2 linked regions of the Alligator mississippiensis genome follow. The protein of the gene in region 2 interacts with the protein of the main gene of each other region in a biochemical or structural test. Links are inferred from orthologs where the notes say so. Each region holds a gene or a part of one and is shown on either strand. Other genes may lie near its edges.

Region 1 (8,177 bases), on a different chromosome or scaffold from region 2:
TGAGCTGCCTGGCTCTTTTTATCTGGCTTGGGCAGGGGGGCCACCCCAGCATCACCCCTCACGCAGCTGGAGGCTGGGGCACCCAGGCCCGTTCCTGGCAGTGCTATCATTGGCCTCAAAGGTCCCACTGACCCTGCCACTATTGCAGGGCTGAAGACGGATGCCACGCTGAGGATGAGACACACCCCTGTGGCAGTGAAGGCTCCTGGCAGCTAAGGGCAGGGCTGTGGAGGGCACCCAGAGCCGACTGCGGGGGGCTCGGCAGCAGAAGAGATTTCCAGCCTGCTGGGAGCTGCCCACCTTCCCTCTGGAGCCATGCCTGTGTGGCTGGGCCCTGGGGCTAACCCAGAGCAGATGGCATGGAGCCCCGGTGCTGGCGTGGCTGTGAAGCGCTCTCCAACAGGCTTGGAGGTGAAGCTGGGGTCGCTGGTGACGCTGCTGCTGCTGACCATCGTCTGTGGCCTGGCCCCACTCTGCATCTTCCGGCACCCCGGTAGTGCAGCCGGCTCCTCCGGTGAGGCTTGTGCCAGAGCTCCTGGGGGGCCAGAAGTCTCCAGGACAAGGCCTGTCTGGCCGGCAGCGGGAGGGCAGGGGGTATGACTGCGGTCAGGAACCAGGCCATGATTTTACCACCTGGGCCTCCAGGGAAACCATGTCTGGCTGCCAAGCCCAAGAGACAGGCATGGTGGCTCGGGGTCCTGGTAGCTGGGGCTGGTCCTGAGCCAGCCCCCATGCCTGTGGCTGCAGCACAGAGGTCCCAGCAGAGCAGCACCTGGCCCCGCTGGCAGGAAGGGCTCTTAGTGCATGGGGAGCTAGATGAGCCCTAAGGGATTGGCCCCTGTGCCCTGAAGGAAACCGGGGCTAGGCTGTTGGTCCAGGGGCCTCAGGCTCTGGACCCTGTGAACCAGGGTTCCTCTAGGTCATGATTCTGGACAGAGCGGGTTTGGGAATGCTGGGTGCTCTCGAGAGTAGGGCCCCATCCTGCTAGTGCTTACTGGGCAGAGCCAGCCCTGGCCCCAGCAGGGGACCTGCCCCCAGCAGGAGCACCGCTCCCATTACACAGACAGTGAGCGAGGCCTGGGAGTGGGGGAGGGAGTGGTGTGACCCAGGTCATGCAGAGTCAGCAGCAGAACCTGGCCCGTACCCCGGGGTGCAGTGGGGTTGTGTGTTGGGTTTCCCTGCCTGGGGTCACCCCCCTGCCCACAGCATGTGCTGTGCCAGGCATCACTAGGGAAAGGAGGCACCGCTTTGCACCCAGGCTGTGGATGCATGGCCTGTGTTCTGGGTAACACTGGGCTGGGGCATTTCCCCTGGCCCTGGGGGCAGGTGAAGGGTGCAGGCCCTTGAAGCTCTGCAGCCAGATCCCTGGCCAGGGACCTCGCTGCTGGCTGCCTCAGGGGTGGGGGCAGTGAACTGCGTCAGCATCCCCCCACAACCCTTTTCTGGACAGACGCACGCAGGAGGTTCCTGAGCCTGGTAAGCTGCTTTGCGGGTGGTGTGTTTCTGGCCACCTGCCTCCTGGACCTGATCCCCGACTACCTGGAGGGCATTGATGAGGCGCTGGAGAACCTGAGAGTCACGGTGAGCCTGTGCGGAGCAGCTTCCCCCTTCCCTGCACCTGGGCTATGTGTGTTGGGGCAGTGTGTGTGGGGTAGGGGGCTCCCAGGGGCATGGAGGACCCTGGGCAGGGGTTGGCAGGGCAGGAAAGGGGCGGAAGGCTGCCCTGGGGACGGCTGTCGGCTCCAGCTTGCTGCCTGACCGGGTGCGATCCCCGGTGGAGGCTGGGAGGAGGCCCTGTTCCAGCCGCTCTCCAGGGTGACTCACTGGAGCTGCCTCCCGCCCCCGCCCTTCTCCCAGCAGCTTCCTGGCAGCCCCGGGTGGACTCTGCTTCTCAGCAGTGATGCATTGGCTGCTCTGGCCCCTCTGCTCCCCCTTCCCTGTGCAGGGGCTGCTGCGAGGGCTGAGCCATGCTCCCCCTGCTGATGTGGCTCCTACCCCTTCCCTCGCAGCTCCAGTTCCCCCTGCAGGAATTCATCCTGGCTATGGGCTTCTTCCTGGTGCTGGTGATGGAGCAGATCGTGCTGGCCTACAGGGACCAGGCAGGCTCCCTGGAGGAAACACAGGCGCTGCTGGGGGGCTCATCGCAAGATGGCTCTGTGCAGGCCCAGCCCTGGTCGGATGGGCCCCTGCGCTCAGCGCATGGCCCTGGCCCTGACCGGCCCCACGTGCACATCGACTTCAACGCGCACTCAGCCATCCGGTCCTTCGCGCTGGTGCTGGCACTCTCGCTGCACTCAGTCTTTGAGGGTCTGGCCGTGGGGCTGCAGGAGGCTGGTGCCAAGGCCCTCGAGATCTGCCTGGCATTGCTGGTCCACAAGTGCATTGTGGCCTTCAGCCTCTCGCTGAAGCTGCTACAAGGTCAGCTGCACCCGCGCGCCGTGGTCGGCTGCCTGCTGCTCTTCGCCCTAATGTCCCCACTGGGCATTGGGCTGGGCGTGGCACTGACGGAGACAGCGGCCGCACTGCCACAGCTCTCACGCAGCGTGCTGGAGGGGCTGGCAGCCGGCACCTTCGTCTACATCACCTTCCTGGAGATCCTGCCCCATGAGCTCGGCTCCCCGGAGCAGCGCATCCTCAAGGTCATCCTGCTCATCGCCGGCTTTGCCCTCGTCACCGGCATCCTCTTCATCAAGATCTGACTGGAGGGTCCTGTGGGTAGTGCACACAGCTCATTGCAGCACCAAGGGTTGGGGGTGCAGTCAGCTGTGTGTGTGTGTGTGTGTGTGTGTGTGTGTGTGCGCGCGATGGGGTTGCAGGGAGCCTACGTCACCTGTCCTGTGGCTTGGGAATCCCCTCCCCGCAGACTCCCATGGGCAGGGGATTCCCAAGCCAGGGCCACAGACCCAGGGTCGGGCCATTCACTGGCCCATCACCCCCTGCCTGCAGTGGGGGATCACCCTGGGGGCTCAGGGGCCTGCCCCTGCAGCGCGCAGGCCAGACCCAGTGCCCCCAGGGCCAGAGCAGCCCTGGTCACAGCAGCACTCCAGAGTCTGGTGCGCGCTGTGGGCTTTGCCCAGCCACCCCTGTACCCTTCGTGTTTAAGTGCCAAACTTCCCTCGCCCTTCCCAAAGCTGCGGACCATGTGGGGCCACTGACAGAGGGACAAAGGGCCTGAGCCCAGGATCGGGGCCTGTGACTCTCTTGGGACACGGGCCTCGGCTCAGGCTGTCCAATAACACAGGAGGAGGCAGGACACCAGCTGCAGCTGCTGGTTTCTCTGCTTGTTCTCACTGGCAGCTGCAATGACACTGGGCTGGGCGGGGAACGTGCCAGGCTGGTCAGGGTGGCAGCCGGGCAGAGCTGAGTGCTGTTTGTAACAAGTTGGCTGGGTCCCTGTCTGGCTCTTAGCAGACCTGGGCTCCCCCGTCTTTGCCACCGGCCCACAGGATGACCTTGGGCAAGTCCCCTCGCTGCTCTGGGCCTGTTTCCCCCTCTAAAATGGGGCCCACGATCCTGACCTCTGGGAAGCGCTTTGGGGTGGAGACTTTATGGAGCCGCGGTGGGGGCGATCCCTGGGAATCAGCCAGGCGACGCCTGCTCCCCCCGCCAGGTCCCACCCGCGCTGCAGTGACCCACGGCTGGCAGCAAGCCCCAGGCCCCGGGGGCTCTTGCCCTTGGTGGAAGTGCTGCCGTGGCCCTTGGGAGCCCACGGCACTATTTTTTTACGCTCTCAGTCCCCTTCCCAGGCTATTTTCCAGCCTGCCCCTTGTTAAGCAAGCCCCAGGTGCGGGCACAGAGTCTATTTTACTAACACCCTTCTCCGCCCCTGGGCTGCTCCGACAGCCCCGGGGGTGCCAATAAAATGACTTTCTGCATTGCTGTCTCCGTCGTGTCTGTGCCTCGCGGAGCCCAGCGCCTGCGCTCAGCCCCAGGGGATGCTCCTGGCTGTGAAGTCCGGCCCGGCTGGGGGGCACCGGGGCTGGTGGGGGGTGGTCGCTTCCCAGCTGCCCCAGGGGACTTCGGTGTGGCCGAGGAGCCGTGCAGGCAGGGGCTCGCCTAACAGCCGGGTGGGGTGCTCGGCGCTGCACCCACTTCGCGCTGTATCCGTGGTGTTCCGCGAACACCGGTCTGACGCCCCCTGCAGGCCGCCGTGCTGGGCCGGGCGCGCGGGGCACGCCGGGAGCTGTAGTCCGCGCGCCCCGCCCGGCCCAGGCGCTTCCCCTCGCGGCGCACTGCGGCTCCCGGCGGCCCCCGCGGTGTTTCCCTCCGGCGCGCGCGGGGGCCGCTGGGACTCGGAGTCCGCTTCCGCCCCTCGGCCCCGCGGCGCGGGTGGGGTCGCCCCGGCCCGGAACTCCCGCTCCCGTCGTGCCCCGCGGCGCGGCCTGGGCCCTGCGAGCGGCGGCGGCGGAGCGGCCCGAGCAGGGAAGATGGCGGCGGCGGGCGCGGGGGCCGGGGCCGGGGGCTCCGGGGCTGGGGCCGGGCCGGGCTCCGCGGCCGGCGCCGGCGCCTCCAACCCGCGCAAGTTCAGCGAGAAGATCGCGCTGCAGAAGCAGCGGCAAGCGGAGGAGACCGCGGCCTTCGAGGAGGTGATGATGGAGATCGGCTCCACCCGGGTGAGCGGCGCCGGATCGGGGCCGGGGCGGCGCTGCCATGGCAACGCGGATGCGCGGGGGCCGGGTCGGGCCGGGGCTGCGCAACAACCCCCGCTCACGTGGGGCCCGGGGCCGCCCGCCGCGGCCGGGCACAGGCCCCCGGGGAGGGGCCGCGGGCAGGTGTCCCCGCCACGTGCCGGGCCTGGCCGCCTGGGCTCGGGCTCGGGGGTGCTCCTCCAGGATCCTCCACCAGCTCGGTGGCGGCGCCCCCCGGGGCAGTCCGGGACCCGCCGCTGGGACCCTGCCCTAAGCCGCGTCTAGGGCTCCGGACAAGACTCCCCAACTCGTGGGACCCCCCACGGCCCCCAGTCCCCCGGAGGCAGCTGCGGCTAAACCTCCCCGTGCCGGGGTCCGGATCCTGGCTGGGAGCTCTGCGCCGTGGGGCCGGGCTGGAGGCGAGGCGGAGGAGTGGGTGGGCGCTGGGGGAGTCAGCGGCTCCCTCCCACGCAGGTGGGCGCGCACCGGGCAAGGCCCAATGGCAGCTCCGCAGCTTGCCCTGGAAGCGGCAGCCGCGGCGTCCCGGGATGTGGGTCACGGCAAACGCCTTCCTGCTTCTCACGATGAGGAAGTCGCTGTCTTCCATGGAGGGGCAGGCCCTCGCCTGGCTGGAGGGGCTGCCGGGCTTGGCATGGGGAATGTGCCAGCCGCGGGAAGGGGGCTCAGGCCCCATGTCCAGCCCTAAGGACTGTCTGGGCCGGGACTGAGCAGAGCTGGCTCTGCAGTTGGCCCTGGGGCTGTGTGCAGACAGCAGCATCCCCGAGCGGGTGCCTGGCAGACCCCGGGCTGAATTGGGCATTGTCACGCTTGATCTTGGTGTTGCTCGTGCGGGCAGAGTGGTGCTGGCTCCCTCCTGGCCTGGGCACTGGCAGTGGTGCAGTGTCTGTTGTGTGCAGGGCTCGGGGCAGCGCGTGCCCCTTCCAGAGCCGCGGCTGGGCCCTCCCTCTCGCCCCCCACAGCCATAACCCGGTGGCCAGGAGGAGAGGGTCTGGTCCAGGAAGCCTGGCTCGCCCTGCATGCTCGTGCCTTGCTCAGGCCTGTCTTGGCTGCCTGCATGGCCCCAGGGGGTTGGTAAGGGGCTGCTCCCAGAGCAAAGTGTCCCTACTGGGGATGTGGCATCTGCCAGGCTTGTCCCTTGCCCCACAGCTTGATGCCCTCAACATGGGGCCCAGGTGTGGCCCCTGACCTGCATCAGTGCTGCCCAGCTCTCCTGTGACAGGCCAGGGGCAGCGGCTGCCTAGGGAGCTCCTTGCCTAGGGTGCCCTAGGTCCTACCCTGCTCCTGGAAATGGCACCACAGGCGTTTGGTTTCCTCTGGGCTTCCCCCTCCCGGGCATGGACTCCGTTATCTCCAGCCTGTGGTTTTGCAATGACTCCCTCCTGCCAGACTTCCCCGCCCTCGCCCGGCCTTGATTTCGGGCTTCCACTGACAGTGGATGTGGCTACAGCAAGCTCTTCTGCTCAGCGAGGCAGAGGGGGTGTTGCACAGGGGTCCTGGGCTTGGGGGCCACCACAGTGTGTGGTGTGCCTACCTCTGGGGAGTTCTGATGGGCTGAAGGGGCACACGAGGGGGCTAGGGGGTCAGCCCCTCAGCAGCAGAGGGCCCAGCTGGGCTCTGGACTTACCCATACATCTGGTCTGGCTGGAGGTGGGTCTGGGGTTTGCATCCTCCTGTGCCAACATGCTGTCTCCCACTTGCCCCACAAGGGAGTGAGGCTGGGCCCAGCCCTGGACAGAACCTCCCCGTAGGCTCGTTCCGAACAGCAGGCCCGAAGGCCAGCCCGTTATCTGGCTGCCCAGTTGGGTGGCCTTCCCTGGGGCTGGGGGTGGGGTCTGGCTACACAGACCTGGGCCTCCTTAGTGCCATCTGCCTGCTCCGGACGCACCCCTCTCCCCATGCTCCCCTGCGTGCCACCCTGGGGCTCCTGGGGCCGCAGCTCTGGGAAAAGATGTTAGCCCTGGGCCTGTGTGCCCAGGAGCAGAGCAGGCTTCTGCATGTGAAGCCTCTTCCTGCCCCAACCCTGCTCTTCACTCTTCGGGTAGCTTCCAAAGTTTAAAAGTGGGAGTCCCCTGTTCCACCTGCTGCAGGCTTACCAGCACCATGGGGAGGCGGCTTCAAGGGGCTGGTGGGCAGGTCCAGCACAGGGTGCTGCCACCTGCCAGCCAGGGGTCAGAAAGCCTGGATTTCCTTCCTGGCTCTAGGAGGAACTAGAGCTGCTCTCAGGCCCTCTGCGTGCTTGTCTATGGATTGCTGCCTGGCTGAGCCACGCGGGTACTGACGTGAGGGCCCAGCCCAACTTCCTCTTTCTGAATGGGCAGTGGGTGGCAAAGGCACCGCAGCACGGTGGTCCTGGGGGGCAGCCTCACATGCTGCGTTTTGTGCACTCTAACCTAAGCCCTGTCCCCTCTTGTCCAGTTGCAGGCCCAGAAGCTGAGGCTGGCTCACAGCCGGGGACCCTACTACAGTGGCTCACTGCCCAATGTCAACCAGATCGGGAGCGGCGTGTCTGAGTTCCAGGTAAGCGCTCTTGGGCCCCAGGGCTCCTGTGCAGGCATGGGCAGGCCCTACACTGTCTGCTGCTGGCAGACTCCCCTCCTCCCCAAAGAGCACACCCAGCAGCAGTGAAGGGCTGGAGGCCTGCATGGAGGGGCTCCGGGTAGGGTCATGTGCTGCTGGACCTGGCAGCGTGGAGTGAGGGGAAGGGGCAGGCCTGGAGAGAGCTGTGAATTCCAGCCTGGGGAGGAGGTGCCCGCAGGGCCCAGGACTCCCCTGTCTTCCTCTGTGGGCATGACCCTACTCCCTGCATCTGTGGGGCCTGGTGCTGCCATCCATGGCGTGTGCTTGGTAGGAGCAGAGAAGAGGTCTTTTGCAGGTGCCTTGGCAATGTTCCTTGGCAGAGAGGATGGGAAGGGGGGGCAGCGGCTGTCCCTCTGCTGTGGCCCCCACCCTTGTGGCCATGCCTTCTTTCTGACTCCCCCTTTCTGACATCCCCTTGTGTCCCCGCAGGGCCCCTTGCATTCGCCTTTGGATTCGGCCCGCAGCACGCGGCACCACGGCCTGGTGGAGCGGGTGCAGCGGGACCCACGCCGGATGATGTCGCCCTTGCGCCGATACATGCGGCAGATATCCTTTAACATGCATTGTGGGGGGTGATGGTGCTGCCTCCTCATGTGTACGGCTCCCCTCTGGGTCTCAGGGATTAATGTGTGTGGGCAGAGTGCTGGCTGGGGTCACGTGCTGATGCACTGTGCCTATGGCCCCTTCCCCCTCTTCTGCCCAACGCCACTTCTCCCCATGTGGTCCTTAACTCTGTTTTCACATTGACAGCTCTCCCTACAGCCCAGCCTATCTGTCACCCCCACCGGAGCCCAGCTGGAGGAGGTAAACCCTGTGCCCGCGTGCAGTCCAGGGGCAGGGTCTTCCCTGTACCTCCCACCTGTCCCCTGGGGCCTGGTCCCCGGTGCCAACCATGAGAGGCTCCTGCAGCCCAGGCGCTGGGAGCTGCCATGCCCTCAAACATTTCCTAGT
Region 2 (8,206 bases):
GTCAGGATCATCATTTCCTATCTTGTTCTTATTGGAGGCTTAGAGAAGTGGAGTGGGAGCTGCCTTCACCCTGGACAGGAAGGGCAGGGAACTGAAACCGCTGGACATCTAGCTTTAAAGAGATGTCAAACCAAAGTGCTAGTCTTGGGTTCGAAATCTGGCTGCTCCACAACCTCTTGGTTTCTCTTTAGTCTGGACGCTATGCTTCTAGTTCTCCAGCCACCCAGAGTCTTTCGGGAAAAATAAGCCCTGAAACTACTCAAGCACAAAATATTCTGAAGACCCTTCAGGGCCTTATGACACAGAAAAAAAGCCCCCAATTTCTCTTATTTGCAGGTGATGTGTGGGTTGCATATGCCAGCCAAAAGCCTTAGGCCCTATCCCTTAACTAGGTTATGCCTAGTATAGTTAACCTGATACAAATCTCTACTAAAGATGCACCACATTAAAGACTTATTCACACCTGGATTAAGTCATGCTGGTGCAAGCCCATTTTGCAACGCTGCGGCAGTTCTGCATTAAGGGTTTGCACAAAGGCAGGTACATCAGTTCTAGGCTATTTTGGATCAATTTGTTCTGGATATAAACCAAACTGAGAGGCACAGTGAAGGTAGGAAAAAAGGTGCTATCCTTCCACGTACTGAGTAGTACACCGCTATGCATTCGGAAGTACGCTGGAAGGCCCGTCTCATCTTGTATCCCATCTCCTACAGAAGCCATCACCAGATGCTTCACTGTAAGGTGCAAACCACATCGAACAGACAGTTAGGTACCACATGCCTAGCGGAGAAGTTTTTCCAAGTTCTGGCAGTTGGTGGCTGGCTTATATCCTGAACCCAGAGACCTGATTAGTCAGAAGTGTTTATTCTCCTGCACCACACCATAGCTAACATCATCATGTACTCATCCTTAGACAGCTTTCAGACTCAGTCTTTGGGGAGGCAGTTCCATGGGTTAGTTACACTTTTAAGTACCGGGGACTATTTAAAGTGCATAACCTAAGGATTAATAGTAATAATAATAATAATAATAATAATAAAAAAAAAAGTTTCTGCACTTACCTGAACTCATTACACACCATGCTCATTAACTGCCGCAGCAGCCTACGCTACGCTTCTTAGATCTCATTAAGGTCCCGTACTTTGTTTCTCAGAATGCCTTTTGCCTCTAATAGCAGCCTCAAAACTGACAGGACCCAGTCAGTGCGGGGCTTCTTCAGAAGCCTCAAAATTGACAGCTCCTGGTCCAAATTTCACCAATTATGCACTTAAACAGAGTACAACAGAAGCACAATTAGGTTACAGGGTAGGCACTGGGGCCCAAGAGTGCCTGTACACTTAACCCAAATGAAGATAAGCGGCACGCGAGAAGTGTATTGCTCGTATTGCAGCTGGTGTCTGCTCCCTCTTAGGAGACAGTAAACAAGAGGAGACTGGGTTTTACCTATTATTTTAGGGTTCTTGTCACCATTTACTCTCCTCGAAAAGTAAGTAGCTCTAATCTTCCTAAATGTCCCTCTCATGGGTGTTTTTTCTATGCCTCTCGGCTATTTTGGTTTCCTCCAGTGGACTTATTTTCGCCTCTGTCCTGAGCAAAACCATAAGTTCTGCTCCTTGGTGGATACTTCATTAGCCAACTCATCCTCTGATCACAGAAACATCCTGTGATACAACACAGGCTGCATGAAAGGACCTGTTACAAACTTCAGAGCCTAAGAAGTACAGACAATAAGCAGAACAAAAGGTTGTGAATACAAGGCAGCCTCGTTCAACGATCCTGCTGGAAGAAGGGCGCTGAACTACCCGCTGTTGTTACAAATGCAACTCCTTCATTCCTGTCAACTTTCTTCACTCAAGTGCTTAATTACCCATGTTTAAGTGTTGCATTAATATAAAGTTTCACGTTTAATGCAAAACTCATTTGCATATCTACCTTCAAGCCTACTTTCCCTTCTAATGCACTCATGCTGGTTCAGTTTGCATTTCACTTTTATCTGGCGCTAGCAATATTGAGTTTTCGGTTTATGGCTGATGTTTGCGAGGCACAAATCCGGCGCGCAGCTTCTCAAGCGCAGGCCGGATTTTGCACGGCAGTCAAGGCTCAGGTACTCCCCACATACAGAGCTTGCTAAATAACTGGACTGGAAAATAAGCTTGGGTTTGCCAGACTCGTTGACTCGGTGGAAGTGAAGACAAAGTGCACAAACAAACGAAGCGACTGCCTCCAGTAAACAGGCAGCCCCAAGGTACCCAGGCTGCAAGGAAGGGAACCCGGCGCATAACGCGTGAGCCGGGGCCGGAAAACGGAGGAGACTCTCACATAAGGAAAGACTTTTCTAAAATGATTTTTCCAAACGAGTCTCAACAGAAACGGAGCGCGGCATTTCCTGCAGTGCAGACACGCAAGGAAAACGTTGATACAAGCCCGATACAAGCTACGTGTCCCCCATCGCGAGCTGCACGGAGACCCGCCGGCTGTGCAAGGGGGCGACTTGGGGAGCGAACGACCCCAGGACACGCAAGGACGACGGTCCGGCTGGAAATCGGAGCGTCTTCCCGCCGGGAAGAGCCGCTCGGCCGAGCGCGACGCCCGGTCCCTTTCGTGCGGGGCCCAGCGTCGCGACCAACTTGTGCCGTGCTCAGGTGGGACGGCCCTCTGCCCTTCCTAAAAAGTTATTTTCCTCTCCTCCCTCCTCCGACCCACCCCACCAGCCAGGCCACGCTTGGTCCTGTCCTCTCGCTGCAGGGCGCCCCGGCGCCCCACGTCCATCTCACCGGTGAAAAGAGCAGGAAAAAATCCCCGTCTTTAGATGCAAAACTTTGTCACCCTGGAAAACCGAGCCCCGTTACGGCGGGGTGTTAAAACGCAGGGTGCAAACCCCGGCGCTGGGGGGGGGGCAGGACACCCCGGTCCCTCCCGCACGCCGCGTCCCGATCCACCCGAGCACAAATTAAACCCCCCCCAAAATAACTGTGTGGCGGTGCTGTCGCGGGGGCTGGGGGGCAGGAGCCGTGGTGGCCGTTGGGGCTGGGGCGGGGGAGGCTGACCTCGCTGCGCGTGATGCGGTGCCGCGCCAGCTTGACCACGGCGAAGTTGCCCTTGCCCAGCGTGCCCTCGATGTCGTAGAAGCCGACGCGCACGGGCCCGGGCCCGCGGGGCAGCAGCGCGGGGGGCCGCCGGGGCTCGGCCATCACCATGCTCGGCGCTCGCGGCGGCGGCGGCGGCGGCTCCGCTCGGCTCCCGCTCCCGCTCCGTCTGCGGCGCCCGGCCGCCGCGCGCCCCGCCCCGCCCCCCCCGCGTCACCGCGCGCGTCACCGGGGGCGGCGCCTCGCCATGGCAACCGGAGCCCCCGCCGCGGAGCTGTTCCCCCCCGCCTCGCCGGGGCTCCCCGGGCTCTTCCCGCCGGGGCTCCCCTCCCCGCCCCTGGGGCCCAGGGGATTGCACGCGGGCACGCGCACGCACGTGCCCCCCCCTCCAGGGCTGCTGCAGAGGGGGCTTGCACGCTTGCTTGCACACATGCGCCTTCCCCTAGGGTTCTGCAAAGGAGGCTTGCACACGCATGCGTCCCCCCCCCTCCAGGGCTGGTGCAAAAGGGGTTTGCACGCTTGCTTGCACACATGAGCCCCCAGGGTTCTGCAAAGGGGGCTTGCACACTTGTTTCACGCACATACACATGTCCCCCCTCCGGGGCTAGTGCAAAAGAAGGCTTGCACACTTGCTTGCACACACGCGCCCCCCCTCCAGAGTGCTGCAAAGGGGGCTTGCACACACACACACACACACACACGTCCCGCCTCCAGGGCTAGTGCAAAGGAGGCTTGCACACTTGCATGCACACACACACACACATTAATCCCCACTTCACGGCTGATGCAAAGGGGCCTCACACACTTGGTTACACACATGCACACAAACACACACATGTCCCCCTTCCAGGGCTGTGCAAAGGGGGCCTGCACACTTGCTTGCACACGTGCCCCCCCTCCAGGGTTCTGCAAAGGGGTTTGCACACACACACACACGCACACGCATGTCCCCCTTCCACGGCTGGTGCAAAGGGGGCTTGTACACTTGCTTGCACACATACACATGCGCGTGCCCCCCCCCTTCAGGGCTGGTGGAGAGAGGCCCCTGCCCCCCTCAGTCCCTGCTGTCCGGGCCCCGACCAGGCTCGCAGCGCCCGGCCGCCGCGCGAACAGGAGCAGAGACACCTGCGGGACACAGGCCACCGGCGCACGAGGCTCTGGGTAAATCCGATCTCTTTTATTAGACCAGCGCCAACAGTTGGAAAAATTCTTCTTTGCAAGCTTTCGGGCACAAACGCCCTTCGTCAGGCTGGGGAAGCGCCTGCAGTCGGCGCGCGCTCCTCCTGGATGGAGCCCGAGGCACTTCCCCCACCTCCGCAGCCGGCCGCCTCTCTGGGCACCAACGTTGACACGGATCCGGCGTGCCAGCGCCTCCCTTGGGAAATCGCTCCTTTGTGGCTTGATTCATCGCCCCCCCCGGGAAGACACAGCTACGAGGACGCCCGACGGCAGACCTCAAGCGCACGGATGCCGACGTGGCGAGTAGGGGGATCTGGCTGCCAACCAACTCCAGCGGCATCCCGTTTTGAGGTAAAGCATCTCGCCCTCGAAGCGGAGAAGAGCGAGCGGAGGAAAGGAAAGCAGAGAAATCCTCGCCTACAGCCTACCCTTCCCCGTAGGAAGACCTGCAATTTCTGCGGCCGGGTCTTTGGCTCGAGGATTGGACTCGCCTCAAGACCCATCTATGAACCACAGTAGAGATCATCCTCGAACCGAGGGATTGCTGAGGACGACAAAGGAGCTGTCTTTTACTGGGTCCATCTGGCCCAGCTTTTCCTTCTGCAGAAGGGCAGCATCCCTTAAGAGTGAAAGCACATCTGGGCTTGGCAGGCAAGGCCCGGGCTACGGCTGAGGCTGGGGCTTCCCCGGGCAGGGCTGCGGTCCCTTGCATATCGTGTGCATGCACCGCCTGCTCTGCTGAGCGAGTGGGAGCGGGGGCACCGCTCTGTTTGGCTGCGGGGAGGGGGTACCCGGCGGCTGAACCGCTGCACGACAACAGGGAAACTCGCATCAGCCTCCCCCCGCCAGCGAGCCGCCCGCAACCATGAGGAACTGAGCAAGCTGCTGGGGGGAGTCACCAGCACCCGGGGTGGGGTCTGGCCCAACGTGCAAGCAGTGCTGCTGCCTAAGAAAACCGAGCCACAAAACCAAGGGGAAGTGAGATCTGCAGATTTGGACCAAGATTCAGAAACATTCGTAACACAAAACCCCACATCGCGCAGTAGCAGAAAGCAGATGCTGAAAGGGAGAGTGAACAGGCTGTGGCCGGGGTTGTTTTTCCCCCTTCCTCTCTCACTCGCAGGCTCCAGCATTTAAGGTCTAGGAAGCTCTGATTCAGAGGCTGTGCCTGAACGCCGGTGCTCGCTAGCGACTGATGCCTCTTTCCTCCGAGGAAAGCAAGCGAGGCGGGAGCAGGGGCCCAGGTGGAAATCATGTCACCGCGCTCCAGGCAGCAGGGAGCTTCTTCATACCCAAAGCAAATGCCATTGCTGAACACCAGGCACGATGCCCGCGTGCCGAGACGCAGGGTGAATCCGCAGACCTACGTTGTACATGCGAGTCTGGCAGATGAAATGATTTGGGATCCACCCCCAGAGGAAACGGTCGTACCTCACCTCACAGGGCACTTCCTACTCGGATAAGAAGGCTGTAAATCACCTCTAGTTACATGAACAGCATTGGGCCAAGGCACAGCAAGAACCAGCCCAGCCAGGCAGCTGCTGCCGACTCCAGAGGAAGTGAGATGAAGCAGGATGGGCATGGGAATCCCACGGCAATACAGTCAAGCCACAACCTCACAACCTCCAGCTGCTCCAGTGCAGCGATGGGATCGCTAGCAGCGTGCATGGCCCCGCCAAAGATACAGAATGAAAACCATGACCCCCCCCATGCCTCCCCCTTACCACTCTGTGAGACGCTGGATGCAAAAGTTCAAACAACTGGAACAGAATGACATAATTGAAGAAACAATGTGCTGAGCGGGTCCCACCCATCGTAACAGGAAGCAAAGACTGGAGGTATTCTTGCTGCCTGCACTTCAGATAAAGCCTGCGGCATTGACAGTCCTCCGCTTCCACATAGAGATGAAGGTGTTTGGAGAACCTGATGGAGAAAGATGTATTCAGATCTTGATCTACAGCATGTACACCCCCGGCAATGTGATGTCATGGCATTTATCACAGAGATGGACTTCTGTGTTAAAAGTGAGGACCGGGCAGGCGTGCCTCATCACCCAGCGCTCTTCAGGGAATGGTGTCGGTGATCCTTGATGACCGGTCTGGAGTTCAGTATTATCTGGATGTCGTCAGCGTGTTTGAAGAGACACCAGAAGAGCATGGCACACACTTACAGGTCATACGAAAACACGTCACTGCGGCAGACCTGCAATCAAAGCTTTCTACATGGTGTCTTTCTTGGGCAAATCATTTCACAAAATGCACCAAAACCTTCCCTAGGTTGGGCTGTTGCAGTTACAAAGGTATTAGCACAGCAAGACATTCAAGCATTGCATTTTTTTTTTAGGTCTTCCATCAAGGCATGCAAGGTTTGTTTCAAACTATGCTTCAGCTGTAGAATAGACTTTCACGATGTATTACTTCTGGCCATTTGCTAAGGTAGTCTATCAGGGCGATGGCATAACGGCCTCAACTGGAGCAGTGTTAAATGATCCCATGAAGTCAATCACAAGCTTTTTCCATGCTGAATCAGGAGAAAATGCAGGTTGTAATGGTGACGTGTGGATCACCGAGTGCGTCCCTGACTGTTACGGACCTCACGTTTATCCTGGACAGCTGCTGGGCAAGCCAATTTTGAAAGGGAAAAAGCTTTGGTCAGCACCCTAGCACTCCTGTTTTACCTTCTGTGGTGACTATTCATGTCTCAAACTGCAGATTTGGAGCCCAACTTAGCCAGATCCATGATGACAACACTGAACAGACTGTTGCAGTTGCTTTCAGAGAGCTTGCTGGAGCTGAGAAAGTCACCCAAAGGGAAACACTTACTTTGCATATAGGCTACAGAAAAATAGGGGGGTAGCCTTTGGACCACAGCTTCAAACTGTGCACAGTGCACACAGCCCTTTGGCAGCACTGCTAAAGCAAAAGGGCTCGGCCAAATAGGAATGCACATTGCCAGGCGGTCGGTGGGATTATACAGGAGGAGGAGCACAGGCCAGGAACCAGAAGTGTGACAGCGCTGTGCTCCTCTTGCCTGTATTGTCACCAGATTCCTGCTTGGAAGTAACTGCAGTTCTCACAAGTATGATTTCTGCATTGACCAAAGGAGTATTCAAAGCTTCTTGCTCAACAAATACTGAGAATTACTGACAATGCAACAGTCAAATAATGCCAAACGCCTAGACCCAGCTTAGCTGGTATGTGTTAGGCTACAGAGCCATCTTTCCCTAGATGGATGTGGGGCACACCAACTTTTTATTACAGAGGAGCTACAGGCAAAACACAGACACCTTGCTTTTGATATGAACTAGAACAAACCAACAGCCATGAGCTCTATAACTATGGCCAGCAATGGATGCTCAAGTGGAGGTTGCTTTAAAGTCTTGTGTTACCTGTCAATCACTTAACAAGACCTCCGTGACCCACACACCATCATCACCATATCTTTCCCCAGTTCAGCATGGAAAAAGCACATGATTGACTTCATGTGACCATTTAACAATGTTCCCCTTGAGGCCATGATGCCATGGGCCTGATCAGCTATCTCAGCAAATGGCCAGAAGTGCTCACATCACAAGTCATTGCTGGTATGGCAGTTACTGTCTTCAGCAGAGAAGAAAACCTGAATGTTTGGTAACAGATCACAGACCATCTCCTTAGAGCTGGAAACTTTCCTAACACAGAGGAAAAGCAGGCAGAAAAGGTCACTGGTGCCTTGCCCTCAAGCCAAAGGGGAACCTGAACTCTTCAAGAGACCTCTGACAGAGTTCACAGACAGTGCATGCGGGAGAAAAAGCGTGGAAAGTGTTCACCAGGAACTTACAGGGCTACACGTTGTGCAGACCCTCAGAAATCAGAGGATGAATTACCCTGCAGAAGAGAGAGACACATAAAGCTAAATGTCATGGGATTACACATGCCCATCTGCAACCAGCCCAACAGAAA

What was found.
Region 1: of the proteins of SIK2 (region 2) and CRTC2, one has a biochemical effect on the other in vitro, tested with the Homo sapiens proteins (2 studies listed by BioGRID). The link is inferred for Alligator mississippiensis from reciprocal best matches to the Homo sapiens genes SIK2 and CRTC2.

What each region holds. Positions count from the first base shown.
Region 1 is NC_081838.1:13,053,470-13,061,646, forward strand, and holds the start of CRTC2 (CREB-regulated transcription coactivator 2), read left to right. Parts: upstream 1-4,412; 5' UTR 4,413-4,427; coding exon 4,428-4,613; intron 4,614-7,064; coding exon 7,065-7,166; intron 7,167-7,655; coding exon 7,656-7,772; intron 7,773-7,968; coding exon 7,969-8,030; intron 8,031-8,177. Other genes in the region: SLC39A1 (zinc transporter ZIP1), read left to right, coding at 316-514, 1,451-1,581, 2,010-2,699. UniProt on the Homo sapiens protein: Transcriptional coactivator for CREB1 which activates transcription through both consensus and variant cAMP response element (CRE) sites.
Region 2 is NC_081839.1:31,499,704-31,507,909, reverse strand, and holds the start of SIK2 (serine/threonine-protein kinase SIK2), read right to left. Parts: upstream 3,251-8,206; 5' UTR 3,198-3,250; coding exon 3,048-3,197; intron 1-3,047. UniProt on the Homo sapiens protein: Serine/threonine-protein kinase that plays a role in many biological processes such as fatty acid oxidation, autophagy, immune response or glucose metabolism.